4 linked regions of the Tamandua tetradactyla genome follow. The protein of the gene in region 4 interacts with the protein of the main gene of each other region in a pairwise test. Links are inferred from orthologs where the notes say so. Each region holds a gene or a part of one and is shown on either strand. Other genes may lie near its edges. The genes, in order: CEP44, LMO1, METTL17 and CBY2.

Region 1 (7,321 bases), on a different chromosome or scaffold from region 4:
CCCTAGCCTCCCATTTCTCAACTCTTTTCCTCATGGTAGAATGACCAGTGTTCCCTCTCTTTAGAAATGCAGAATCTTCCTGCTTCTAGTTTCCTCCTCATCAAAACAATAAAAATATTATTTAAATTACTTCTATACACTCATGCATAGAACATTAGTCATGGAAATTTCAGATATAATCAGACAGGAGATAACTAACAAAGAAGTGATCCTGCATTCACACTATAAACAAAATACTAGCAAAGAAGGTACTATTTAACATCTTGAAAGATGACTGGAGTTGATGAACAATTAAATCTCCCAAGACCAACCTTTCCTTTACTGGGACACTAATCTGGTTGAAACCTACTAATGGGTGTTGCCACCGGCCAATATAGTAGGTCTGAGTTTGTTTTCCAGAGCCATCTGTCCTAACGTAATTCATTTAAGGGTGCCTTTTTCCCCTAAAACATTCTATAACTTTAAGATAAATTATATCTCTTTCAGACTTCCTTTAATCCTTCAAGATATATAGTCCATCTTTCCAGCACATGTAATTATGCTTAACTTTTTATGGTAACTTTTCATTTTTCCTTTTTCTGATGTCCTGGAACACATTTAAGTGCCTCATATGTTATTTCTACCTCTGGTAATGGAATTTCTGACAACAATGTATGTCCCTGGAACACATCCTTTGCATTACCAGCAGAATAAATATTTTGAAGAAAAGTAAGATCCAAGTACAGCTTGGATCTGTAGGTGAAAGAGATAAGTGACAAAACAGGATAGAAAAGGCAAAAGGATTAAATATATCTGAGCATTATAGGGGAAAAAACAGTTCTCCAAAAGCAAGGGGAAAAAAATTACAGCTACTGGCCTACATTTTCATGAATGGCTTGACTAGATTTATCATAAAACTGAAAAGCACCAGAATTAACACTTTATTTTCAGAGAAGAAAAATAATTTACTTTAAAAATTAATATTTTCACTTCATAACCCTTATCAAAAGAAATTAAAAGCAGAAAGGAGATATTACTCAACTTAGATTCAATCAAGATCTCAAAATTGCTTTCCAGCTTCCTCCAAAGAAGTCTGCCTACAAGTCAGAGCTGCACTGAACTTCCTAAGTGTGAGGCAGGACAAGTGGTATACTAGAGCAGATTAAAGATTCTTAACCTGGCTTAATCTCATTATTTTTAGAAGGCATGAAAATGATGCCTCCCAAATGAATGCCACCGGGCTCAAAGTGATTTTTTTTAGAATGCAACTACACTGTAAATAAGACTTGTGATATAACCCATAAAGGTGGATAATACCTAAAAAACTGGATATAAAAATGAAGGGGTAAGACAGTACAGCGAACCCTAATGTAAACTACGGACTATTAATAGTGGTGAATACTGCAGTTACAATTATATTATTTCATCAATTGCAACATGGACTACCATACTAATGCCATTAATCCGGGGAGTACAGGGGGACTCTGTATTTTCTGCACGGTTTTTTTGTAAACCTACAACGTCTCTAATAAAAAAAAGGAAAAAATAGGGAGGTAAAGAGGAGGAAAATTAAGTTTACGAAACCCTTAAAATATATTAGGGAAATACTGTTCTAAGCGCGAGAAAGGGAAAACATTAAGAAAACTGGAAAGAAACAATGTGAGTAAGGGTCAAGACAGAACTCATTGGGGCAGTGGTGTCTTCAGAGCTGTTAAAAGTTTTGGGGCTGATTTTAGAAAAATTGCATACTACAGCCATGATTCCAGAATTTTAAAAAAGGATTAATTAACTTTCCATGGTAGGGGAAAATCTGCAGTCCTCTAGGAAGGTGAACAAATAGTCGAAACACCAGGGAAATGCAAGGAAGGAAAGCAGACTGCGCTCCTTCCTCTTCCTTATGGGCAGTATTTGCGAAAAGCCACATCGCCCCTGGACTCCGATGATCCGACGGGAGGAACCAGTCAGGCGACAACCCGCCAGCCCTGAAGTCACAACCTAAGCGGGGAGGGCGAGCCGAGGGCGAGCCGAGGGCGAGCCGGCACGAGTCTTGCCGCGTCGTCTGGTGGGGACAAGGCACATCTAGGGCTCCCCTCCCTCCGCCCGACGGAAAAGGATGAAAAGGCAGACCTGGTCGTGCGTCCCCGCCTGGGGCCTCGGAAAGAGAACGCGAGAGAGGCGACCTGTGTCCGACTAGGGCGCAGCCTCGCCGGCCCCCCGGGCTCCCCGAGCAGCCGCGAGCATGGAAGAGGGCTTCGCCGGCCTCCGGCCCCGCACCTCCCGGAGAGAGGGAGGGAGCACGTGGAGACGGCGACGAAACCCCGGCCCGGCCTCCAGCGACGCGTCCCAGCGGCCCGGCGCCGCACCCAGGCGCGCTCTTCGCGCCGACCGTTTGGATCCGGACCGACCGCTCGAAGCGCGCCGCGACCCGCCGCCAGCCCTGCGGCGCTGCAGCTGCTCCGCGCGTTCGGATACCTCGCTGCAGATTCCACAGCCGGTTTGCCCACACCCCTCCGGGCAGGGACTCGGCTGAGAACCTTCGCAATGGCTCCGCCCTTCACAAGGTGCAGTGGAGAAGTCGGTATCATTTTAGATGGTCGGCAGAGAGGCTCGGGCTGCCGACTGAGACACAAGGAATCTATAGCGAATCGTACCCGGCGGGGATAAAAATGCTTCTTCTTTAAGGGCCCGAGCCCGACACGTCACTTCCGGCAACAATAGGAAACGTCAAAACTCCGCCAGTCCGCAGCTCGGGCTGCTGCAGCTTGAGGTACCCGGAGTTCGGAGGGATCTAGGCTGTCTCTGGTCCTCTCCCAGCCGTCGCCTCCACCGGCGTGGGCAAGTAAACTCTGAGCCGGCGTCTCCATGGCCTGGGCACCAGTTCCCGGCTGAGCCCTTTCCCTTCAGGCTACAAGCCCCCGCCCAGAGGCCGAGTCGTCGCGGCGGCGGTGGGGATCGCGGGTCACTCAGGTACAAGCGTCAGCCCACAGACGTCAAGTTCTCTTGCCTCGTTTCCCCGTGCACCTTTCTTCTCGAAAATAAAGGCAGTCAGTGCTTGCCAGTTGGCAGAAACTTGCCGACCAGTAAGAGTTTGGGACCAATGGTAGTGCAAAGCATCTTGAGTGACAGCAGTGATGGCTTATTAAAGTGAGGAATCACTGCCAGGAGGCGGGAGGGGTGTGCCTTGTTTCGAGGCCAGTTGGGGTGTGGGTGAGCTTGGGACCCCAGGTGGTGACCAGGCGTCATCCTGAAATAAAGCCGAGAAACGTCGAGGACTCTCTTCCGGCCCAAGTGTTACTTTTCGGGTGTTAGAATGTTGTTTTGGTTAACAACCACAGTTTTTTGGTTCTTTACATACTTTCGAGTACATATGAATGCAAACATACAGTTAGGGCCACAACGAGATTGCCAGTTGCTTCAGCCGCCAAACTTTGGTTACAAATGTTTGGAAACTTAATTTTCCCTCTTTATTTGCTATTTTGTGATTGGGGTTTAATCTCTTACATAGTTGGTGCTCAGTAAATATTCACTGGACGAAATTACATAGATGAATCCTATTCCTCGGTCATTTAATTTTTTTGTTTCATTTTTAAGTTTTCATATATGTAGCAACATGTTGTGTCTACTTGTCTTACAAGTGCAGTTTTTAAATTCAGGGATCTTAGGTGTTTCTCCTGAATGAATGAATATATCGTGACCTATATTACTACAAAGTGAACCCAATTTCTATTTTTTTTTTTTTATCCCTTCTCTTTTTTTTTTTTTTTAATTAACGGAAAAAAAGAAATTAACCCAACATTTAGAGATCATACCATTCTACACATGCAATCATTAATTCTTAACATCATCACATAGATGCATGATCATCATTTCTTAGTACATTTGCATTGGTTTAGAAGAACTAGCAACATAACCGAAAAAGATATAGAATGTTAATATAGAGAAAAAAATAAAAGTAATAATAGTAAAATCAAAACAAAACAAAACAAAACAAAACAAAAACCTATAGCTCAGATGCAGCTTCATTCAGTGTTTTAACATGATTACTTTACAATTACGTATTATTGTGCTGTCCATTTTTGAGTTTTTGTATCTAGTCCTGTTGCACAGTCTGTATCCCTTCAGCTTCAATTACCCATTGTCTTACCCTGTTTCTAACTCCTGCTGAACTCTGTTACCAATGACATATTTCAAGTTTATTCTCGAATGTCCGTTCACATCAGTGGGACCATACAGTATTTGTCCTTTAGTTTTTGGCTGGATTCACTCAGCATAATATTCTCTAGGTCCATCCATGTTATTACATGGTTCATAAGTTTCTCTTGTCTTAAAGCTGCATAATATTCCATCGTATGTATATACCACAGTTTGTTTAGCCACTCTTCTGTTGATGGAGATTTTGGCTGTTTCCATCTCTTTGCAATTGTAAATAATGCTGCTATAAACATTGGTGTGCAAATGTCCGTTTGTGTCTTTGCCCTTAAGTCCTTTGAGTAGATACCTAGCAATGGTATTGCTGGGTCGTATGGCAATTCTATATTCAGCTTTTTGAGGAACCGCCAAACTGCCTTCCACAGTGGTTGCACCCTTTGACATTCCCACCAACAGTGGATAAGTGTGCCTCTTTCTCCGCATCCTCTCCAGCACTTGTCATTTTCCGTTTTGTTGATAATGGCCATTCTGGTGGGTGTGAGATGATATCTCATTGTGGTTTTGATTTGCATTTCTCTAATGGCCAGGGACATTGAGCATCTCTTCATGTGCCTCTTGGCCATCCGTATTTCCTCTTCTGAGAGGTGTCTGTTCAAGTCTTTTTCCCATTTTGTAATTGGGTTGGCTGTCTTTTTGTTGTTGAGATGAACAATCTCTTTATAAATTCTGGATACTAGACCTTTATCTGATATATCATTTCCAAATATTGTCTCCCATTGTGAAGGCTGTCTTTCTACTTTCTTGATGAAGTTCTTTGATGCACAAAAGTGTTTAATTTTGAGGAGCTCCCATTTATTTATTTCCTTCTTCAGTGCTCTTGCTTTAGGTTTAAGGTCCATAAAACCGCCTCCAGTTGTAAGATCCATAAGATATCTCCCAACATTTTCCTCTAACTGTTTTATGGTCTTAGACCTAATGTTTAGATCTTTGATCCATTTTGAGTTAACTTTTGTATAGGGTGTGAGAGATGGGTCTTCTTTCATTCTTTTGCATATGGATATCCAGTTCTCTAGGCACCATTTATTGAAGAGACTGCTCTGTCCCAGGTGAGTTGGCTTGACTGCCTTATCAAAGATCAAATGTCCATAGATGAGAGGGTCTATATCTGAGCACTCTATTCGATTCCATTGGTCGATATATCTATCTTTATGCCAATACCATGCTGTTTTGACCACTGTGGCTTCATAATATGCCTTAAAGTCAGGCAGCGCGAGACCTCCAGCTTCGTTTTTTTTCCTCAAGATGTTTTTAGCAATTCGGGGCACCCTGCCCTTCCAGATAAATTTGCTTATTGGTTTTTCCCCAATTTCTATTTTTATTTCAGCTTTCCTTCTCCTAATTTTGATGAGTTTGGTAATCATATTTCTGAATCAGGAGGTTTTTGGTTGTTATTGTTCTTTCACCTAAGAAAATGCTATATGATAAAAGCGGGTGTCAGAATAAAGAAAAAATTTTGTTGTTTGTCAGGCTGAGTAGGAAACTTCCCATTGTTATCCTTCTGAAAATTTGTCTAAGATGCTGTTTTAGTTATTGCAGTGTAACAAATTATCCCAAAATATAGCACCTTACGACAGCAAACATTTATCATCTCACACTTCCTGTGGGTCAGAAATTTGGGCACAACTTGGCAAAGTATCTCTGGCTCAAGCTCTCTCATGAGGTTGTGGTCAAACTATAGGTAGGGGCTGTGATTTCATCTGAAGGCTCAACAGAGGGATAGGAGTATCCACTTCCAAGTACAGTCATGTGATTGTTGATGGCCCTTGGTCCCATTTTCTGTGTACCTCTGCAGGGGCTGCCTCTCCATATGGCAGCTGACTTCCCCTGAGATAGGCTGTCCAGGAATGAGCACCCAAGAAGCCACAGTTGTTTAGGACCTAATCTCAGAATTGATATCCTATCACTACTGCCCTATTGTGTTTATTAGAAATAAGTCAATAAATCCAACCCAAAATCAAGGAGAGGGGATTACACGAGGACATGAATTTAAGGAGGCAGGTATAGTTGGGGACCATCTTAGAGGCCTAACATAGATACTCTGGTTGATCATTTTTAGGAATAAATAGACAGGATTAATTTAGCAAAAATGTGTCCTAAAGACAGCAGACAGACAAGGAGAAATGCCAGATTATAAGTAAATAAGTAAGATAAACTTGATTAGCGTTATCTCTCTTTAAAAAAAAAAAGCCTTTTTTCTTTTTCTTTTTTTCCTGTTACTTATCTTGAGAGAGGCACACTTCCTGTTTTTCTTAGGAAACTGTACTTGGGATATGATGTGAGTGAGAGGAATGTGTGGGGTTTTTTGGCCCACATGAGCAGAGCAATTCACAGTTGGAGAATTTGTGTTCCTTACTGCCATTTTATATGGTTGAATTTAGGTCAAAGTACGCATGAGCAAAGGTAGCATTTAATGGGGAAAGAAGTTAAGAAAGAGTTGGAGGTAAGAGTTGAAAGGATGCAGATCAGTGGCAGCCTTTTATGTCATGAGATAAAATAGTGGAGGGAAGAGTGTCTTAGACTAGAAATGTGTCTTGGATGTCTCTTTTTAAACATTATTAGGTGGCAGGTATCACCTCTTTCTGAATTCCCTGAATGCACATGACCAACATAGTTTTTGTCAATTAAACATATAAGCTTATTAAAATAAACATTACATCCTTCAGGGTTCATGTTTACATTATTTTCACTGTGATTCAATGCAAAATTGCTTGTTTCTTCACTGTTTGAAAGATGTTATAAACCCTTATCTATTAAATAAAGTATTATTCAAGTTTATTTCTGATAATTCATGTGTTGACACCAGCCTGGATGTGTGTTTAAAATTTGACTTTTAAATTTGGGCTTCCTCTCAGGTAATACACATTGATTTAAAGTAGGTTACAGCCAATTACCCAGTATAGTTTTGGGTGCTTGTATTTCTGCAAAACTTGAAACATGATTCAGAAAATAACACAGTTTAAATACTTCTTTCTACAAAACATTGTATGGTCGTAACTTGTAGATAAGCCAAAATTTGCGTTATAATTTAATATATATGATCAGTTTAATGGGCATATTTTCTGTCTTCACTGGGCTTTCCTGTAGGTTAAAAAAATCATTTTCCCCATTTCACAGTATAAATGTAATCAATTAC
Region 2 (6,913 bases), on a different chromosome or scaffold from region 4:
CCCAGAGGACACACCCCTTGGGGGCCCTAGGGGCCAAAGCTGCCACCCAGCCTGGGCGGCTGCCTGCTAAAAAAGCACAAGTGCTCAGAAGTTAGGCAGCAGGTTTGGAGGTAAACGTAAATGGGTCCAGAGCTCTCTTCCTCCCCCAGTTGAAGGTGCCACCTTCAACTGAAGATGTCCTGCATCCGGGGGAGGCCAGACGTTAACAGAAAGTGGAGCATGAATTTCTGAGCAGAAAGGCTGTTTTTGAAAGACAGCTCTAGGCTGGACAAGATGAGACAAGCTCTAGGCTGCTCAGGGACTCGGCTGCCTGCCACCTTGTGCTGTAATGGGTCCCAGAGCCCAGTGGCATCAATGGTAGAGGGCACCCTATTGTTTAGGCTGGACAGAGACAAGGGGAAACACTTACACCCAAGGTGGTTAAAGTGAACTGTACTTTGGATACAGGAGACTGTCCAAAATGACCTCCAGAAATCCATTCCCACTCAAGGCTCATCTGGAAGCCCTTGACATTATGGAGCCTGAAGCACCTTGGGGTGCCTGGACATGCAGTTAGTTCCAAGACCTGGGGAGCGGCGGTCATCTTGTTGGCATGAGATGTATCTGCCCGCTTGAGACCACCCATGTAAAGGGCTCTGGTCTTCTGGATTCTTGCCTTAGGCCTGGGGAGCTAAGAATACTGAATAACCCCTAGCTAAAGACAGATCTTAATTTCCACATCTCTCCACAGTGACAGGATTCCCAGACATCAAGAAAGGACCTTCTGCACTGACTTCTGCAAGCCCCTTATTTTATTGAGAAAAAAAATGAAGCCCTGAGGTGGGTGTGACTGGTCTAAGATAACACAGGGGGATGGAAAATGAAAAGGAACTGAATCAAGGCCCCCTTTCTCCCCATCTGACCTGTTCCCAGGCCCCTTTATCCTCTTTTCATTCCACGAAAAACTATATCAGCCCTGTTCTCTGGTGGCCTACTCCCACCTGGGAGGCAGTGCTGGGGTCTCCCCAGAGGGCTCCGTGAATAGAGAACACACAAGATGGTCGTCACACTCCAGCCAGTCTCCGGCACATGGATTCTTTTGGCTAAAAGCCTCAAAACATCTAGCTACCCCTTCCTCTCTGGCTGCACACGTGCTGAGAAATGCCTTTCATGGGCTTACCAGCCACAGGGCTCGCCCACATCCACACCCAGGCCAGACTCTGTGAATGCCTCAGGAGGTGGTAGGTAGGCTGGGGGCTCCGGCACGCAGTAGCAGCAAAGGGTCCTATGTGACCTTGAGCAAGTCCCTTAACTTCCAGATTTCAACAAGTGACTGTGTCCATACCACTGCCCCCATGGGCAGAGGGCACAGTAGAAGATCAGACTGACTCACATGAAACCCACCCTTTCAGTTCCTTACCCGTGGCAGAATGCAGGCAGCAGTGCCGGTGCCAATGATTACATACAGAACTTCCTGGAACACCAAAAAAAAAAAAAAAAAAAAAGCAAGCAACCCTCACCCCCAGGTCAGGAGGGTCTGGGGTAGCAGCCAGGAAACTGTCAATCTCCTGACCTCAAGGCTGAGCTTAGGCCACAGGGCTTCAACTCTTAAGAATGCTGGGATCCCCAACCTCTCCTGAGTGTTCCAGGACACTCACTGCAGGGCACCCCTAGCCACGAAGGCATTAGAATCCGTGGAACCACCTGCTAGTGGCTTCCAGCAGCCATGGGCCCCTCTGATCTCTCAGCACCGCAGATCCCTGGGACACTGAGGCTATTCAAGTCCACGCCACTCCCGCGGGGCTTCACCCGCAAGAGCGCTACTAGCCGGTGGCGAGGCGCTTTCCTCGTCTGGGCCGAACTCCTGCCTGCAAGGCAAGCTCAGGGAGACAGCCGGCCGGAGAGGGGTCTCTCCTCACCGAGTCACGCTAGTGGACAGCGGTCTTCCGGAGGGCCCAGCCGGCCTTGCCCTTGCTTCCCAGGCATCCTGGGCCGAGCGCCGTCCTCTCGCGCGCCCGCTGGCCCCAAGCTCGGAAGTCCGATTCTCCCCGAGGCCGCTGATTTGCTAGGCGCTCAGCGCCTCTTGGGTTACGCGGCGGGCGCGAGGGTTATGGCTGCGGTGAGAGGAGCAGCCGCAAAGACCCACAGCTCTAAGTAAAGCATTACGGCGCCGACAGCCGAGGGGAGCCGGGAGCCTCCACGCGGCCCCGCCGAGCATCACACCGGCCGGCGCACACCTCGTCCGCTCGCGGTCGGACGCGCCGCGGGACGCCCAGGGTCGCGCAGCCCGGGGCTCGCTCAAACCGCCCCCGCCTCCAGTGCCTCCCTGCCCCGCAACCCCAGCCCGCCGCGCGCCCGCCAGGCGATCTGGGCACTGCCCGACATGCGTACGCCTGTGTCCTGGGCATGTGTTTTTTTTTTCAGAGAGCCGCGGCGGGGGCAGGGGGCTACGGGCGTCGGGACCCCCGCCTGCCACCTACCGTCCTCCTTGTCCAGCACCATCATCTCGGGCGCTCCGTGTCCAGCCGCAGCTCAGCTCGGCCGGGAGAAGGGCGCCGACTCCGGGCGCGCTTCGGTGGGGCGGCCGGTCCTCCGGCAGCAAGCGGGCTCTAATTACCCGCTTGTCCGGCTCTTAACCTAGATTGCACTCAGCTAGAATTACATTCAGGAGTGAAGCACTTCGCAGCTACAAAAGCAGTCTCACCTACTTTTGTGCCTCAGAATTGCAAGGAACTACGAACTGCAATTTAGAGAGAGAGAGGGAGAGGGAGAGAGAAGGGGGAAGAGAAGATCAGAGCCGTTTCTTTGATTCTCACCTTCTAAATGGCTCAATTTGCCCAATATAATCTGTCTTAATGTAATTGCATTTGATAGCTCATAACCCTGGCTCTGGCAACGACACAGCTTTCAGCCTCATAAAGTGTTTTCCCCTCGGATTTAATCTGAATCTCAATCTAAAATTATATTCAAAGAGCTGGGAGAATCTCGGCGGCCGTCTCCCGCTGCCTTTCTCCCTCAATGTATGAGGTTTGCACTCCTGCTACTGAATAAATGCACACATTTCTCGAGGACCCCCTCCCTCCCGGGTTAATGGGGAGTGGAGACGCGCGGCTACCCAGCTCCGCAGCGCCACCTCGAGGCCACTCAGCTCTCACTCGGCGCGGGATGCGCTCAAGTTGCCGGGTGCCGGCGAGGCCTCGGATGTTTGTCGGGTTGAAGAATCGGGTCTGTTGCTCCCAGGCCCTCAGCAATAGGGCGCCCTCCTCACCCAGGCGCTCTGCCTCTGCCTCTTAACCCTCCCTTCCTATCTGCTCTGCTCGGGGTTTCTACTTCCCAGATTGCTCCACAAAGCTAACCCACTGCAGGAGAGGACCCTCCTACCCGGAGCCTGCCCAGCACCACCTCTGACTCCAGCAGCTCACCATTGGGGCAGCCTGTTGAACATCTGAGCAAGCAGCCCCAGAGCGTACATGCCTTCGGGCTTTCTCATTTCACAAATATTTGTTGAGTTTGTATTATGTGTCAAGCACTGTTCTAGGCATTCGAAATAAAGCAGTGAAAAACAAACAAACAAACAAAGAATCCTGCTGCTATTACAGAGTTGACAAGTCTTGTTCTGCAACTCAGTGGACAGGAGGAGAGACAGCGTTCATCTGTTCTGCTCCTAGATCCTGCTTCTCTCCAGGGCCCTGGGACTGGTGCCCAGGCTGCCTACTCCAGGAAGGCCACCCATATTCAAATCTCAAGAGTGGTTTTTTTTTCCCCTGTCGGTAAAGAGTTCCAGGGTGGGATGGAAATTGTAATTTTTCTCCAGCCCAACGTGGGATCTAGACAGCTGTGTTGGAGGCTGGGTCCTGGCAGTCACTTCTGGGCCTAGACTCAGGCAAGGAGAAGAAAGTGGAAGTCCCTGGAGGGGTGAAGGGCCACCAGTTGGGATCTCATCCCATCCCTGCCAATTACCAATGGTGGACCTTGACAATTAACTCTCTCTCTGGGCCTCAGTTTCCCTGTTTGTGAGGATTTGCTCTTCCTGTCTCCAAGGTTGCTGTGGGGATCAGAAGAGATGATTAATATGAATGAGTTTTGTAAACTGTGGCACCCTAGACAATGGGGGGTATTATCAGGTACAAAGGAGACCTGGAGGCCAGGCCTTGCCCCTGAAACTCTGGAAGGCCCCAATTCAGGGTGTGTTTGACAGAAGAGGAGTGGGGTGCTGCAGCCCACCCTCCCCTCTCCTACCCAGGGAAGTCAGCTTTGAGGAAACAGAAGAGAGGCTGCTTCTAATGAGATGCCTTATCCGCAGCTCAGAAGGTTACATTTTCTCCTTCATCTTGAATACTTACTTAATCCTAATTGTCCTTGAGTACATTTGATGTTAAATATATCATTTTGCACAGACTTGCCAATCCTCAGGACTATGGGCTTGATCTCTCCCCTGCCACTGCAGCTGGAGTAGTACCCTGAGGGTCTAAGGAAGGCTATGGCACTGCCATTGGGCCACCACTGCCAGTGGCATAGTTAGTGCCAGCTGGTCACCTAGCCTGAGCTGGGGGCCAGGCAGTGTAACAGGCACAGGGCCTGAGAGATTGGAAAGGGGCAGCTTCTTGTGCAGAACCCCCCATGCTACCCAGAGGCACTCATTCCACAAGGGCTGCATCCTTACTCCTAACCACCATGGGCCACTTCTTCTCACTTTCAGGGTCTGGCCCAGACCCACAAACCAGGCTGGCTTCCCACTCTCTTGTCCATATGCTGTGCCTGGGAATCTTCATCCCAATGCCAGCTCCCACCAGTCTCCAAGGAACCAGTTATCAGCTATGCAGCCTGTATACCCTTGGGGAGTCAGGGCCCCTTTCACTGCCAAGCCCTGGACCTGAAGCAGGCCTGGAATGCTCAGCAGTGAGCTGCAGAAGCAGGTAAGGTGTATCAGCATGGGAATGGGGCTGTGAAGGCTCCCAGTGCCCACAGGTGTCTCTCTGCACCACCACCCACGGGCTGTAAGCATGAAGTTCCCAAACTGATCTGGAGCGGGGGTCCACAGCTGGTTTATGGAGCTGCCTGGTGCGCCCCAGAGAGTTTGGATGACTTGAGCTCCCAGCCAGGAAGGGGCCTATTGGGTTGACAGAGCCAGACATAAGCCACACTCATCTGGTGGCTTCCCTACAGCTCCTGGGTAGCTGCTGCGCAGGCAGGTAACCACCCACCGCATGCTCACCCTCACCCAAGCTACTTCCATGTCCTGAGACACACCCACAACACCAGGGAAGAATCCTTGGCTTCCCTGGGGCTGCTCCCAACACATTCCACAGGTGATAAGTACGTACTCTGTATTCTTGCTTCCACCTGCCAAGAATGTTCCAAAACACCCTTGAAATGCCTCTAGGGTCATCAGGGAAGGTCAGCTGATCAGCCCTCAAGGAAACAGTGGGAAGAAAGGGGAGCTAATGTCTGGCCTTACAAAAGTTCTGGGTAGGTCCCAGCAGTTTCTGGCTGCACACAGCAGCAAAGTCCTGAGGAAGTGTTCCTGCATAGAAAGTGGAGAGGTGGGAAGAGTGGGACCCAGGGCCTGAGGCCCCGGGCAGACCAAATATTCCAGAACTGCCTTGGAGAGTGTCAGATGTATCTCAGCCTGAGGGCCCTGCACTCAACACAGTATAGCTGTCTACAAGCTGAGGTTACCAGCCGGCCATAGAGGTAACGTTCAGAGAGGGAGTTGGGGTGACGTGCCCATTCCCCATGGCCACCACAGCTGACAGGAGTGAGCAATCCTACAAACTTTACAATGCAATCAAGATAGATCCTGGCCAAGTTCCTCCCTACTCACACCAAAGCAGACAATGCACGGGAATTTTACAACTAGCTAAAGTGAAGAAATGCATAGTTGGTAAACGTTCCCTCTTGGTTTCTGGGGAGTCCTGGAGAGGAGGCCTTCTCAGAAACTGCAGCCGCAAATTGTTAGGCCTTGTGAGGCCTGGGCCAAATCTGCACCCCAGAAAAGAAGACTACCTCAGCCCTTTGATGAAAGCCAAGCTAGCTTCACACACCAGCCCTGAAAATACTGTGCATGTAGGGTGAGCAACTGTTCAGGTTTGCCCTGGGACTGAACGGTGCAGGATACAAGACTTTCAGTGCTAAAACTGGGACGGTTCCGGACAAACCAGGACAGTCGAGCACCATAGAGACTAATGGAGCCAGAGAGGAAGGCCAGGCAGCCAGATCCTTTCCCTGAAGACCAATAGCTGCCTCAGCCCCAAATATTCCAGTCTCTTGCCCCAGCAGCTTCATTCTCCAGGCATTAATGGGCTGCTTTAACCCCTGGGGACTGCCCACCCCCCAGCCAGGCTATGACTTATCTTGGGAGATCAGCAATTGGAATGGGGAGGACCTGAGTTGGGCCTAGGGGTGGACCCAGATTTTGTGAGGCCCCAAACATATATTTTGCAGCACCCTCTTTAAGAAAAGGAGGGTGAGATTTCTAATGAGATTACTAATGCTAATACAATATTACTACCAGGGATGGACTAAAGGACCCCGAAGCTAAAACTTCACTAGCTTCCAGGTAGATCCACCTTTGGTTGAACCTGATATTTTGGACTATATATGGCCCATCCACATACTGTGGCCAAGGTGCCACCTCCCTACGTGGCTGGACCCCGGTGAACTGACCACCTTCTCCAGTCCTGCCAGGGGCATCGGCATTGTCACCCATCCCTCAGCCCCAGGACTGACACTGGACAGGGACCCCAGGATGACACTGGTCTGGCTGGACCCTCACTTTCAGGTTGGTCGGCAGCGGCTGCTGCCTGGGAGTTCGCGGCGCTCGCGGGAGAGGCGCTCCCGGGGTCCGCAAGGCGGTAGGAGCAGTGAGAAAGTTCCTGGCCGGGAACGTGCTGGGGTGCGGGCTCCAGGTGGCCGGCGAGACTTCCTAATCCCT
Region 3 (7,263 bases), on a different chromosome or scaffold from region 4:
CCTTTAATTTCTTAACTTTCTCAACTTTGTAAGAGTCCTTTCTTATATCTTGTCCTTACCTTTCAGTAACCTTTCTGCCAAACCCAACATGGCTGCAGAACTGTCCACACACATATATTCACGTAGGCTCTGACCCCAAGTATTATGCGCAGCCCTAAGATAGCAAAATGTAAATCACCAAATCTCATGACAAAGTATTCTTCCTACAAGAGACTTCTCTACCCTCACCCCAACCCCTGAGAAACAGAGTACTATGCTAAAAAGGTTAGAAAAACTAATAGTTAGTTTATTTCATTTACAACTCCTTAAAAAAAAGGCAGACTCAAAAAACAATTTGTAAACAGAAAAAAATTGATTGATAGTTGAATAATGATCTATACTAATCTTCTTTCTTTTAATCTTTCAAAACATGGGCTTTTTTTCACTTGACATTTCTTTTGTCCCAGTCTACATATTTTCTTCTGCTTTGCCCAACCTGAGGGAAGAAGCATTCTAATTTCCAACTGTTCTGTTCTCCCTCTGCTTCCCCAGTCCCTTGATATCCGAATGGTACAAGTATGACTCCCTAGAGTTAAAATGAGCAGAAACAGGGCTGAAGAAAGTTACTTACCATGTGACAGAACCAGTACCCGAACCAAAATCCATCAAGGTTTGTGGCTGGAACTCTGGGATTCGAGTTCGGATCTGAAGAAATAAATAACACTCTACTCATTTAGGGCCTTGGTAGATATGAAGTAGGGATCATGTTAGAGGAAGTAAGATGTGAATGTCTTTCGAGATTTAATAAAAATTCTTAAGAGAACAAGAAGCTCCTAAAACAGTGGTTGTGAACTTTTCTTGAGTCACAGAAATCTTTTCTATGATAAAAGCTTCAAAAACAAACACACAAAAAATGCACATGAAATGTCCCAAGAATCATTTCCCAAGAACACTACATTAGGAACGAGGAAACTAATGGTAAAAGGGACCAGGTTGGAAACTGAGGAACGTTCACCTCATGGAATGCCCTGGAGACCGCTGCAAAGCCACCATCCAGTCTTGCTGCCATATACACCAGGCTCAGTCTCTCATTGTAGCTGCCAGAAGAATTAGAGAGTAACATTCACTAGGAAAATAACCTCTATCTCACAGTTAATTTCTAGATTTTTAGGAAATGATATCTTTGCAAAAGGCTCTTCCAGCTCACCCTTTTCACTCTTCCACACAAGGGTCCTGGGGAACCTCCCAATTCAGGTAACTTTTTAATTAATTTATATTGCTATTTTACTATTTTATTTTATTTTCCAGGTAACTTTTTTAAAAACTATACTGTGTAATTATACTTCCCCAACTCTCCTTCTAGAGTTGAACTTTTCTCTCTTTTGTAGGCTTTTCGTCCCTCTCACCTCAGTTTTTGCCAGTGGTAGGTAGTTTTGCGCAGGGCACGTAGCACAGCTCCACGAAGTTTCTCCTCTGCCTGGGATGAGTCTGGGGCAAGAATAAGGACTGCAGGTGACAACCTGGGGAAAGCAGGGCTCAGATCCAATAGCTGAATACATTTCTCCCCTACCCCCTGTCCCCACAGGCTCCAAGCTTAAGAAAGAAGTCAAACCTAGAGAAAAATCCCAGGTAAGAACAACAATAACAACAGCCATAGTATATCAGATAGTATTATGTCTCTAATAGTGCTTTATCCAACTTAACCAACCCTATCCCACAGTTTCTGTTCTACATTAAAGTGAAATGTGATAAAGATTTAAAGAATAGGATAAGGATTGTATTTTGTGGATTTTCCCACTTCCCTGAAACTTAAGACTGTGACGTTTCCTATGTTCCTATGGGGAGATAACGGACTGAAAAATCCTAAGTCTCACAATTGTGTTCAGTTCAGTATTATTTGGCAAGTATGTACTGAGTGCCTCCCTGCAGCCAGGTACTGTGGGAAGTGCAGGGAATACAAGAAGAATAAAAAGAAGGTCTGTAATATGAAAGAATTCATGCCAATAACTTGATGAATTATACTTCTCCTATCCCTAGGAGTGTTTCCATAGTAGACAGGGAACCATACAGGGACTTTATTTCACCAGAATAAACACATAGACGGTCCTAGTTCAGTGGACTTGCAGGAAAAAAGCAAAGATCTAGATTTTGACAGAATACTGCCGCACCCTCTGACTTTTACCCAAACTCCAAGGTCAATTTCTGGAATAATCTATTTTCTCTTAGAAAGGCTTTCTTGTAATGACTGCTCTGGCAAGAAAATAAAAAAAAAGAAGCTGCAGTACCTATTTGAGAGACTGTACTTTCTCGCTTTTCACTTTCCACTGACATTTCTATTTGGTCTCTTCTTTAAACATTCTTAAATTCTACCTGCGTTTCCCAGTTTCTTCTCAAGATCTGCTGCCCGTCTTTGCAACTCCTCTGGCTCCACAGGTACATGTCTGCTCCAGAGATGATTGGTCAGCGTTTGTACTTGCTTTTCCATATTTGGTACCGAGTTCGCTTTGCGTCAAAAATTAAAAGTGCAATCATGAGAGGGGGCCTCATCCCTGCTTTTTCTCGGGTCTCCCTTTCCCCCATTACTCACTGCGCAACAGTAACTGCGCAGCATCACTCAGCGCTTGGGGCAGGCTCACACGCGGTAGCTGCAGAATGCCCGGGTGCTGGCGATGGGGCCTGTTTCCCAAAAAATCGGACTTGTTATCCACCTGGGTAACGCAAGGCACGAGGACGGCAAGCGCCTGCAGGCAGAAAAGAAAAGCTCATTACAGGGTAGAAGGGAAGATTGTGGGCACTCAGAAAGGGAGGGGGTGCCGAGAGCACACCTCCTCCGAGCGGAGCTGTTCTCTAGAGATACGGGGTCTCTGGAGAGCAAGGAAAATAGGCGCTCACCCGGGACTGGCGAGCTACTCCAAGGCCGTGGCTCCATCCGCCTAAAGTCGGCAGGACCCTCAATCCACTAGCTGTCGCCATGGCTCCGGAGGCGAACCGGAAACGGAACTGCAGATGCTTGTGACACTCGGGTTCACATCTCCGAGGTGATCATCCGCCGTGTAACGACGGCCTGGGACAGTATCAGCCAATGAGGAGAGCGAGTGCTTGCTAGTAGCCAATAAATGATATTCTTGGGGCGGAAACCGTGCGTAGGCGGGACTTGGGCCGCAATTCCTGCGAAAACAGCCAGAAGCGAGGTTGCGTAGAATCTTGCTGCGGGGTCTGGAAATGGAGGGTGCGTCCGGGCGCGGGTCCTTTGGAGGGGGTCCCTAGAAACGTGGCAGTGACAAGCTAAGACCATTTGTGGATGTGTTAGCAATCTGTACTGCTTGTCTAGAGAATTCTGAGTCTTGTTTGTCTTTTTTTTTTTTTTTTCCGGTTGTGAAAAGGGTAAAATGCAGTGCTGGGAAGACGACCTTAAATACCAGATTTAGGTGACCCACGGTGACAAAAACAGCAGATTCTTTTGTCTCAGTGCTCAGATGACCAATTCCTAAGACACCGGGTTTTTTTTTTTTTTTTTTTTTTTTTTTTTAAAAAGCCTCTTGGGATTTTTATTAGAATTGCATCAAATCATTAGGTCAGTTTATGTATCTTCAGCATAGTAAACATAATATATTCATAATTTTCTACTTTTTTTTTTTTATTAATTAAAAAGGACACCGGGTTTTAAAGAGAGAGAATTTATTTTGCTAGGCACAAGCAAGAGATTACATGGGTTGGTGGCCCAACGTCTGTCTCCCGGAATTTGGGGGGTTTAAGGTTTTTATGGATTTTAGCAAGGGGAGATGAAGTCGTTACAGTTTCAGATAATCAAATCTAAGCAGAAAGGGAGACATTTCAAAAGTTCAAGCTGACGGGGTGCGAGGGTAGTTCAATAGTACAATTGTCACCTGCCATGTGGGTGACCTGAATTGATTCCCGTCTCACGCACTTCTTCCCAAAAAAACAAATAAGCAAACAAAAAACCAACCAAACAAAATTCAACGAATGGTGCTGCAATAGAAGTATACTCATGGAAAAAGAATGTTATGTGACCCTGCCGTGCAGCAGACACGCGCGCATGTGCACACACACACACACACACACACACACACACACGTGCAAGTTGAAAGGAAGGGAGGCAAAGTTACCGTTTCAATAGCATAGTATTCCCGGTACAATGTACAAATATGAAGGGTTGGAACTGATTAATGGCTGACTCAAATTCGTCATTTGCATTGGAGCCTACAAGTTCCTTAAAAAAATGAGTGGAGAAAGAGAGTAGCTGGTTTTACAGTCACAGAGGACATACTGGCTCCATCAATTTTGATGTATGTCTTGTGTGAAAGCTAGCATTTTCACAAAAACTCAACAATTGCTATGCAAATCCCTTACGTAAAACTGTTTTGAGGGCTAAGAGACTTAATGCATTCACTTCCATGCACTTTTTGGACTGAAAGTACTTTCTTCAGAGAACACTATCCTTAACCTAAACCTAACACTAACACTAACCCTAAACCTACAACAACCTCAAAATGAACTAAAAATCCAAACCAACCCAAAACTTCACATCAATCTTAATCCCACCCTAAGCATAATCCAAATCGTAGCCCTAGGTCTAAGCCTAAATCTAACCCACAACCTAACACTAATGCTATTCCTATATGAACCCTAAACTTAACACTGAGCCTAACACTAACATGGATATAATCTGTTTTAAAATCAAGTAATAATAATATCTCCACACATTTCCAAGCATTTTAATGGAAAACAGCATCGCAAAGTAATGTTTCCTAGTAAAATATAAGAACAGTTTGGAAATGTGTTTTGAGAGCTCATTGGCTTACCACCTCCACTCATTTCAAACAATTTTGTGGGTGAAAAGAGAATTTCTGCAGAGCACTCAACTACAGCCATGTGAACCATTACTTAAACCCGTTTTGAAACCTTAGAATTGTCCTGGTTCCATTAACTAGCTTAGGATTTTTTTTTACTAAAACTGCAATATTTCAGAGAACCCTCACCTTAAACTTAACTTATACATAACACTAAAACAACCACAAACACAAACTGAAACCCCAAAGAATCAAGACCTGCACAAATCCCAACCTCCAAACCCAGTCCCCAAATCAACCCCAAGCCTAACTTCAACCCAAACCCTCACCCTAACGCTAACCCTAAAACTAAACCTACTCTAGCCCTAAACCTAGCCCCAACAGAAACCCCAAACCTAACCCTATTGCAACCCCAACACTGACCTAAAACCGAACCCTAACCTTTACATCAACCCTACACCTAACCCCAACCCTAAACCTAACCCTAACCACAACCCTAACCCTAACACTGAGCCTAGCCTTAACATAATTTGTTTCAGAAACTGAGTAATGTACTTGGTCCACATATCCATACTATTTTTAGTGTAAAACAGCATTGTCAAACAATTATCATTAATTCTATTTGAAAAACTCAGTGAATGTGTTTTGAGAACTGAGTGACACACTGGCTATTCATTTTCGTGTATATCTTGCATAAAAATGAGCATTTACACAGAAATCTCAACAATTGCTATGCAAATCCCTTACCTAATACTGTTTTGAGAGCAATGAAACTTAATGGATCCATTCAATTCCATGCACTGTTGGGACTGAAGTTTCTTTCTTCAAAGAACACTACCCTTAACCTAAACCTAACCTAAACCTAACAGTAACACTACCTCTAAACCTACAACAACCTCAAAACTGACAACAAACCCAAACCAACCCGAAGCTTCACACCAATCTTCATCCCACCCTGAGCATAATCCAAATCCTAACCCTAGCCTAAGCCTAACTCTAACCCACAACCTAGCACTAATGCTATCCGTACATTAACCCTAAACCTAAACCTGAGTCTAACACTAACCATTAACATAATCTGGTTCAAAAATCATGTAATAATAAAGTCTCCACACATTCCATGCATTTTTAATGGAAAACTGCATTGCGAAGTAATGTTTCCTAGCAAAATAGGAGAAGAGTTTGTAAACGTGTTTTGAGAGCTTGTTGGCTTACCAGCTTCATTTAATTCCAAGCAATTTTGTCAGTGAAAAACAGCATTTCTGCAGAGCGCTCAACTACAGCTATGCGAACCAGTACTTAAACCTATTTTGAAAACTTAGAATTGTCCTGGTCCCATTAACTGGAATAAGATTTTTCACAAAAAACTGCAATATTTCAGAGAACCCTCAAATTAACTTAACGTAAACATAACACTAATGCAACCACAAACACAAACCGAAACCCCAAGAACCAATACCAGGACAAATCCCAACCTCCAAACCCAGTCCAAAAACCAACACAAACCTAATTTAAACCCCAACCCTCACCTTAACTCAAACCCTAAATCTAACTCTTTCTAACTCTAACCTGAGTTCCTAACTTAACACCAGCCCTAACCTCAACCCTAATCTCAAATCCAACACCAACACTAAGCCCAACCCTAAACTTATCCCAAACCTACAACCAAACCCAACCTTAAACCTATCACTAACCACAACCTAACCCTAACCTAACCCTGACACTAACCCTAACTCTGAGCCTAGCATTAACATAATTTGTTTCCGAAATTGAGTAATGTAACTGGTCCACATACATCCACACATATTTTTAGCGTAAAACAGCATTGTCAAACAAATCTCCCTAATTCTATTTGTAAAAAGTCTGTGAATGTGTTTTGAGAACTGAGTGACACGTTGGCTCTATTCATTTGGATGTATGTCTTGCATGAAAGCTAGCATTTTCACAGAAAACTCAAAAATTGTTGTGCAAATCCCTTACCTAATACTGTTTTGAAGGCTTAGAGACTTGATGGATCCATTCACTTCCATGCACTTTTTGTAATGAAAGTACTTTCTTCAGAGAACACTATCCTTAACTTAAACCTCAACGAAACCTCACACTAACACTACCCCTAAACTTACAACATCCTAAAAACCAACAACAAACCCAAACCAACCTGAAGTTTCACACCAATCTTTTTTTTTTTAGGTGTTATTTATTTATTTATTTATTTTTTTACATGGGCAGGCACCTGGAATCGAACCCGGGTCCTCTGGCATGGCAGGCAAGCATTCTTGTCTGCTGAGCCACTGTGGCCCACCCATTCACACCAATCTTAATCCCACCCTAAGCATAATCCAAATCCTAACCCTAGCCTAAGGCTAACCCTAACCAACAACCTAATATTAATGCTCTCCCTACATTAACACAAAACCTAATCCTGAATCTAACACTAAAATTAACATAATCTGTTTCAAAAACTGTATAATAA
Region 4 (7,817 bases):
TGACTGATGTTAATAGAACTACAACGCGAACAGTAAAGAGGATAAAGAAGATGTCACACATGGTAGCTTTGGCTAGCTGTTTTGACACAGAACCTAAAATCTTCATCGCAACAATTACTCAGTTTGGCAGAGCTCCAAGTACTCTCAATGGGCTTCCACAGTTTCTCAAGAACAAGCCCAAACTAAGGGACACTGAGGTATGAGGGGGCATTGCAGCGTGCTGTGGGAGCTCATTCTGATCTGGCCTAGCCCCTTCGTTAATGATCTAGGAGTAAACAAAGCCCTAATGAAATTCACAGATATGGCTCATTGGGGAAATGTGGAGAATGCCCACGAGAACTGAATCGTTAGGTACACAAGGAACTGAGAGGTGAGCCAGCTCGGGCAGCAAAAAACAGCAGTGGCTTGCAAGTTGCTGTGCTGGAGGGAAACACAAATATTTAACGTGCGGAAGAAAAACTGGAAATCGGTAAGACCTGAAAAGACCTCAGGGTGATAACAAATATGCTTCAATGGCATTTGCAATGTAATTGAGAAGGCTGAACGCCCAGCATGATTAGGAGCTGGGAGGCCAGACACACTTTCTGGATGAGCAGAACTGCTGCAGCATTTCCTCCCAGTAAAGCAAACACATTCAGTTCTTGAGTAGAGCAGCAAGTCGCAGATGTATGCGTGGAAGTCTGTAGGAGCAGTTAAAATGGTAGAAGAGGAGGTACTGTCTCCTAAAAGCAAGGGTAGAATCTCAGGGCTGAAGCAGGACCTGGCTGAGGGATCAAACCCTGGGGTTCCCTGGGATTCCTGGGAATTCCAGTTCCCACACCAATAAAATATCTACCTCCCACCCGCCTGGCCCCGTGATCACGTAACCAGATTAGTGCTCAATCTAGTTTCCCAGATGAGTCCTTTTGCCCAAAACTGACACCAACTCATTTTCTGTAACAAACACTCAAAGTATTTTGGGGAGGTAGAGTGAGCATGCAGGTCCCTCTCACAGCCCCAGGGGTAGAAGCTGCTATTGATTTGAAGATACAGCTGCCCACACCCCTGCTCCAGAGCTCATGCCTAGAGCACCCAGCAGGTATCTGAAACGTGGCTTGTGCCCTCTCTGTAAGTCCTGCAGTCAAGGAGATGAGCAGCTCCAGAATAAACTGGAGCCCTTTCCCCAATCTCATTATCACATGACCACTACAATGCTTTCAAATCCAATTCCCACACCCCCTCACTCCCTCTACCCATCCCTTAGTAATGCTGAATGATTTACTGGGACTGAAAGAACCAAAGGAATTCAAGGCAGGAACTACACATGACTTTCAAGTGGAATGAATTAGCCCTAAAACAAAATTCCCACACTTTGTAGGAATACTATTGGTAAGTCATCCTGGCCAGTGACCAAGAGTAAGTTACATTCCAGAGTTGAGCTTCATGAGCTGAAATGGATGTTCATTACAAAATGATAAGGCCCATGTAAAAAGAAATATCCAGAATATTTTCTTGCTCTACATTTTTCCCACCTGCTGAACACATGTGTAAATTGTTACAATTACCTCCATCTACAGAAACAATGCTGCAAGTTTCTCTCTCTAAATGTGTTGTTCTGAAAATTCTGAGGAAAGAGGTAGCATTAAGAAAGAAACAAGTGAGGACGTCCATTGGCCGTGGGATCTTCCTCTCCTACCTTCCCTGACAGTATTCAGGTAGTTACCTTTTCATTTGATTCTTCCACCCTACATTTCAGCCCCTCTGGCTGCACAGACATGGTCTTCAAGCTGGGTCTTAGGTAAGTCTGGAGATGCAAGGCTGACCTTTGTGACATAGCAGCATGTGGAAACAGCCCAATCAAGAGGACTCCACCAAGGAAACAGCTGCTTAGCAGATGGAGACCTGGACATCTCAGGTCTTTCAGGACTTGACCAACTGATCTGCCTCTCTTCTGAATCCCTCTGGAAAACACATCCACCTCCCTTAAGCCCTCTGTCTTGGGTATGTAACAGAGCTTAATTTTCTTAACAACTCCAAATGACCTGGTCCCCTTGATGTGTGTACTAGATTTTCTTCTCATGGATGACTTCATATGATTTGATTCTGAGACCTGTCTCAAATCTGACCCCAAGAAATCAGAGTGGTGGCCCAATGGCAAACACCAACAAATTTCATTTAGAGAAGGTTGGGTCATTTCAAAGTACAAGAGAAGCTGGAAATGTTAGTGCTAGAAGGTCTTAATGGGCTTCCCAGCACCCTCATTTGAAGGAAGATGAACCCAAGGTCCAGAGTGGCTAAGTGGCCTCTCCCAGGCACACAGCTGGTTGGAAGCTGCCCTGGAAGTAGAACCTCAGACCTTGACTACTCTGCTTGTTCCACAACATCATGCTAGAGTTTTGAAGGAGAAGAGCTATTCTGGCTAAAACTGACGGGTTACGTCCTTCTGTGATAATCTCTACCTGAGGTAGAAACACACTGATTGGAATTTCTAGGCTTTCAGATCTGGGATCTCTTTGTCTTGTAAAATTTGGACTTAATAGAAAAGAGAAAATAAAATGATTTCTGCTTCCCAGCCCATCCTCTGGGCAGCAGTTGTTAACCTGAAAAGCACAGGACTTTCTGCTCATTTATTGCCCTGCTGTCAGTCATCTGCATTATGAACATCTGAGTCTGAAGGAACGTGTGCATGATATCTGATAAGATGCTTTATCCATCTCTGAGCAGAAATTAAGATGTAAAAGCGTTCCAAAAACCTTTGAAGCAGGGAGAACTATGCCTACTTCTTGGTCTGAAATTAGTATGTCTATCTCAAGAATAAAAGCCATACCAACGTGAGGTGCCAGGTATAGGTCCTATGCAGAAGTTGGTCACCAAAACACTCAGAACATTCCAGAGGTGACATCACAAAACAATACGGTGTTTTTCAGCGCTCATGGTTTCCTGTGAGCGTCACAGGTGGCAGTGAGGCATCTGAGCAGCAGGAAGAGCTCAGCCCTGGCTGTGTCTGCAGGCCGGTCACGGTCAGTGTGACACACAATAGCCCAAGCACCAGCCCCCTGTTTGGTCACCCCAGCCAGGGTGACTCACATCCCCTGCCAGGCTGAGCTGAGACCCCTTTCCTCTCTCTAGAGGTGGGTGTCTTCTACTCGGAGTTGGGTTACTAAGAAGGAAGAAACCCAAAGTGAACTCTGCCTGGATCACGGAAGGAAATGTAGAAACCAAGTCGCGGCCACGCTGCTGGTATTAGGGCTTCATGAACAGGGCAGCTCAGACCCTCTGACCTCAGTTCTGTCAAATCAGTTGCCCCTCTCTAGGATCTGTTCGTGGGAACCCTCCTGATTATTCTTATAACATAAGAATAATCTCTTCTTAGCCAGAGAGTCCCGATTCCACATTATTATGCAATTTTCAGGGAAAAAGAGTGGTGGGTCAGGGTCAGCAAGGCCAGAGACACTATAACTGCTGTCTGAAGTTTCCCACACCCCATCACAAGCAAGTTTTTTTTAAGAAAATCCAATGTGCAAAAATTAAAGAATATACTTATGGTAAAATCCAGAGGGTAATCAATTGCATTGTCAAACTTTACTCATTTTGCAAGGAAACTTGTCTTGGGTTCTTTTAAGCAGTTCACTGTCAGATTGCCTAAAAACACATTTCAGCTGTATACATATTTTCACAATATACATTAAAAGCAGAGAAGCCAGAACAAGAATATTCACCTATGTATCCACCTTAAGTGGAGCTATAAAAATCAGGAAATGTGGCACTGATATAAAGTTATAGTCTATATTCCAAGTTTTTCATATGTCCCAATAATGCCCTTTTGGGCCTTTTATCCTCCATGTTAGATCCAGTCCAGGTGACATAGTGCATTTAGTTGTTTTTGTCTCTTTAGTTTCTCTTGTTCTTAGAAAGATACAGGGATGTGTTTGGTATTCAAGGAGTATGATGTATACAATCTACTCTCAAATATTTAGAAAACAGATGAAAAGATGGAGGGGGTAGATAGAATGATACAAAAAATGTGGCAAAATGTTCAAAATTGTTGGATCTGGGTATCTGAGTAAAGGGTACGCTGGAATTCTCTGTTTGGATTTTGCATTATTTTTGCAACTATCCTATAAGCCTGAAATTATTTCAAAATAAAAAGTTTATTAAAAAGAATGCAGACCCAAGGGCAATGTGATGTCACCAGTGCCCAGAGATCCTCATGGGGCTGTGTGGTCAAGGGGTCATGTTTTTCGGCAGGCCCTGCTCTTTGTGGTCTCCCACCTTCCTCCCCTCTGCCATGGTCCTTTGCCTTTTTCTGCCTAAAGCCTGATTCTGGGTGAAGGGATAGTGCCAGATCCTTTCACGTCCCACAATGAAACGCGCTGCCCCACCATATCTATGGGTGATGAAGACCCTCAGGATGAAACTTTGGCTCCCTCTCCAGTTTTGTCAAAGGCCATCCCCAACCTGTCTTGGGAAGGGGCATTGCTAAAGGAAAGAATGGGAATGTATCCACAAACTGCCCTGTTTCCTTAGCTGTGATTTAGAGTCCCAGGGCTGTCCTACCCAGAGCAGTTTCTCAGGTATGGGGGTGTACCACAACAAGATGGCTTTAAACTACAAAAATTTGCTCTCTCACAATTCTGGAGATCAGGGTGAGTTCTTCCTGGATGCTTCCGGTGGCTGCCAATGATCCTTGGTGTTCCTTGGCTCGTAGAGCAAACTCCGCCTCAGTCTTCCCATCTCCTTCTCTTGCATCTTCTCCCCTTTTTGCCCCTCTAAGGACACTTGCATTGGACTTAGGGCCCACCCTAACCCAGGATAATCTTGAGATCCTTCACTTAACTGCATCTGCAATGACCCTTTTGCAAAGATCTATCTTTGAGGGGAGGGCCACAATTCAACACACAACGACATGGAAAGAGCTCTTCTTACTGAACCTAAAAGAATAAATGAGGCTCCAGGTAGAAAGGTCTGGATGCCGGCATCATGCAAATCTGGGGCCCAATAAACAGTTACTTACTGGGTGACATGGGTAAGGTCCATGGCCTATTAGAAGCTTCAGTTTCCTCATCTTTAAAATGGGGAGGTTACATTTAAGCATAAGGTTCCAGGCACATAGTATGTTCTCCATAAAGAATGTTTTGTTGCCCTCACATAGCTCATTGCCTTGCTCCCTTTGACTCAAAAATTTCAGTCAGCTAATATACAATTGGTGTTGCTGTTAAAAGGTGTGAAAAGTCAATGCTTAAATCGCAGGGAGTTTTATTTGGGTTGATAGTAAAGTCTGGGTAATGGATGGTGGTAATGGAAGCACAGCAGTGTGAACATAATTAGCAGCACTGAATTATGTATGTGAATACGGTTCAAGGAAAAGTTTTAGGTTTGTATACATGTTATTAGAACAAAAATTTTTTAAAAATCCATAAGACTGTACAATACAGTCAGTGAATCCTATTGTAAATGATGAACTAGTTATTATTACAATTATAAAAATATTGATAAAAGGGCGGGCCGCGGTGGCTCAGCGGGCAAAGTGCTTGCCTGCTATGCCGGAGGACCTCGGTTCGATTCCCGGCCCCAGCCCATGTAACAAAAAACGGAAAAACAAAATACAATAAAACAAGAAAATGTTTAAAGATGTTTCCCTTTCTACCTTCCTTCCTTCCTTCTATCCTTCCTTCCTTCTCTCTGTCTTTCCTTTAAAAAAAAAAAAAAAAAAAAAAAAAAAAAAAAATATTGATAAAAATGTTTTTTCATGATTGTAACAAAGGTACTAATGCAACGTGTTAATAATAGGGTGATCTGTGGGAACCCTGTTATTCTATGCATGATTTTTATGTACACCTACAACCTCTCTAATTAAACAAAAACATTTTTTTAAAGGCATAACCCTGCAGCTTGTGTGGCATCTTGTTTGTTTGGTTGATTCAATTGTATTTAGTTTTTAACAGGAGGAGCATTTCAGTTGGGCCAACCTGCAACCAGCATCTCCAGTTGCACATTAGCTGGGTTCCTTCCTCTTCTGCAGGACACAAGCATCCATAACCTAGTGCTCAGAAGCTTCCTTCAGATGGTGCCCAAAAATGCCTGCTATTACTCAGATTAACATGGTCATCAATCATCCACGTTCAGTGAACAACCACAATTGGCCGCTAAGCAGGGCATGGAGGTAGACATGACTTGTGGGGTTTTAATCTAAACAGACAGGTTAGGCAGCAAGAGGAAAGGGCAGGCAGGCATCCGAGACTCTCCAGACTTCCCTAGCCTGTGACTTTCTGAAGATGAACCACACAAGGAAATACAGCCAGCAGGAGGGTCTGTTAAAGAGGGTGGGACCTCTGCCCTTCCCCAGAGGGATAAAGGAATAAAAGCTCTTGGAACTGGATTCCAAGGCGTGCATGGGGTTTCCATTTTAACCTTTCTTTCCTTTTCAGTTGTGAAAGTAGGGAAGGAAAGGGGGCATTGTAAATATCATGATGCTTACAACCTCCAAATTGCAGGAAGTGATTAGGAAAATTTATTTTTGCTATGTAGGACAGAAGCTAGGTGTCATCTGGAGCTGGAGAAGCAGCCCAAGTAGAGTGAGAACTTGGGCAAAACTGCTCCCAGAAAAGGCCAACACCCCTTATCTTCTTTTGATACAGAAGGCAGCAGCCAGGGAGTCCATTGAAAGAGTTGGAAAGCCTGTGGGGCAACAAATAAAGATCACCTATTGGAAAAGTCTGGGAGTGGAAGGAAGTAGGAAAATAGGATGACAGCTGTCAAGGGGTGACTATGTGAGATGAACAGTTGTTATAAAAGAAACACTCACATTCACAGAATTATCAAAATAACCACTGGAGGTGGATGACACTGGCAAGTGGAATAGTTGGTACTCCCAGTTCAGATTCAGCCAGGAGAGTAAGTCTTGGTGAAGTCAGAGAAGAGGCTATGCACAGGATGGGCTCCACTGAGAAACATCCAAACCTGGGGGCTCTAGAACTTTGTGCGATTACAGAACTTTCATTCTTGACTCTAGAAACAAACAGAAATTTCCCCAAAGTCTTGACATTTTCTAAATATTATTTAATTTACTCACTTAAGCCAAGAGTAAAGTGCAATCAAAAGACTTCCGATGGAGAAGACTTTCAGTCTTCTAAGACATGTTCTTTCATTTTGGAAAAATTCAAGTGAGGTAACTGGGGACGTCTTGGTAACTGTCTCCCTCTGAAATGAATATTGGTCATGGGAGGGCACACCAAAAGCCCTGGAAATGGACACTCACAAATGAAGAGGCAGGCACAGCTCTACTCCACTCCACTCTAGACTGACAGGGCCAAAATTGAAGGCTTTGTTTATTAAGACAGCTGTAATCATGATTTATGCGACTCTGTACATTTTACTCTAACCAAAATTAAAAGTCATCAAATTAGTTAAGTGTGTAATCCCCTAAATTAATTGTCCATTAGAAGCTCTTTAATGATAATGGAATGCTTACCAAATAATTTGTGACCTCTGAATAGTACCTAATAAATTGACTAAAGTATTCTTCAAGAAGTAAGAAAAGTCCTCAGTGAGTTATAATGAGTTCAGTTCTCCAAAAAGTGGGTCTAAGACTGGACTTGCACTGCCCTGAGGAAGGACAATCTCTTAAACTTACCATGTCAACAGAAACATTCACCTCCACAGCTGGCCACCATTGCAGGGGTAATTGTAAAAGCACGGACTCTAAGTCAGAGCACCTAGGGTAGAATCCTCTTTCTCTCCTCTGTTAGTTGTGTGATCCTCACTAAGCCTCGGTTTCTTTTGTAATAGGCTGGGCTTGACAGTTCTTACATTGTAGGGTTGTGGTGAGGTTTGATTTA

What was found.
Region 1: the proteins of CBY2 (region 4) and CEP44 interact in binary tests that used the Homo sapiens proteins (3 or more experiments, as listed by UniProt). The two-hybrid records come from large-scale screens. The link is inferred for Tamandua tetradactyla from reciprocal best matches to the Homo sapiens genes CBY2 and CEP44.
Region 2: the proteins of CBY2 (region 4) and LMO1 interact in binary tests that used the Homo sapiens proteins (3 or more experiments, as listed by UniProt). The two-hybrid records come from large-scale screens. The link is inferred for Tamandua tetradactyla from reciprocal best matches to the Homo sapiens genes CBY2 and LMO1.
Region 3: the proteins of CBY2 (region 4) and METTL17 interact in binary tests that used the Homo sapiens proteins (3 or more experiments, as listed by UniProt). The link is inferred for Tamandua tetradactyla from reciprocal best matches to the Homo sapiens genes CBY2 and METTL17.

The regions. Positions count from the first base shown.
Region 1 is NC_135352.1:38,807,743-38,815,063, forward strand, and holds the start of CEP44 (centrosomal protein of 44 kDa), read right to left. Parts: upstream 3,018-7,321; 5' UTR 2,631-3,017; exon of another isoform or gene 2,452-2,630; intron 2,402-2,451; exon of another isoform or gene 2,107-2,401; intron 1-2,106. UniProt on the Homo sapiens protein: Centriole-enriched microtubule-binding protein involved in centriole biogenesis. In collaboration with CEP295 and POC1B, is required for the centriole-to-centrosome conversion by ensuring the formation of bona fide centriole wall.
Region 2 is NC_135334.1:82,441,383-82,448,295, forward strand, and holds the start of LMO1 (rhombotin-1), read right to left. Parts: upstream 3,009-6,913; 5' UTR 2,485-3,008; coding exon 2,460-2,484; intron 1-2,459. UniProt on the Homo sapiens protein: May be involved in gene regulation within neural lineage cells potentially by direct DNA binding or by binding to other transcription factors.
Region 3 is NC_135340.1:35,619,103-35,626,365, forward strand, and holds the start of METTL17 (ribosome assembly protein METTL17, mitochondrial), read right to left. Parts: upstream 3,003-7,263; 5' UTR 2,953-3,002; coding exon 2,872-2,952; intron 2,721-2,871; coding exon 2,567-2,720; intron 2,482-2,566; coding exon 2,350-2,481; intron 1,468-2,349; coding exon 1,386-1,467; intron 1,077-1,385; coding exon 995-1,076; intron 685-994; coding exon 611-684; intron 155-610; coding exon 60-154; intron 1-59. UniProt on the Homo sapiens protein: Mitochondrial ribosome (mitoribosome) assembly factor. Binds at the interface of the head and body domains of the mitochondrial small ribosomal subunit (mt-SSU), occluding the mRNA channel and preventing compaction of the head domain towards the body.
Region 4 is NC_135330.1:112,977,061-112,984,877, forward strand, and holds the start of CBY2 (protein chibby homolog 2), read right to left. Parts: upstream 3,009-7,817; 5' UTR 2,882-3,008; coding exon 2,807-2,881; intron 1,697-2,806; exon of another isoform or gene 1,551-1,696; coding exon of another isoform or gene 1,545-1,550; intron 1-1,544.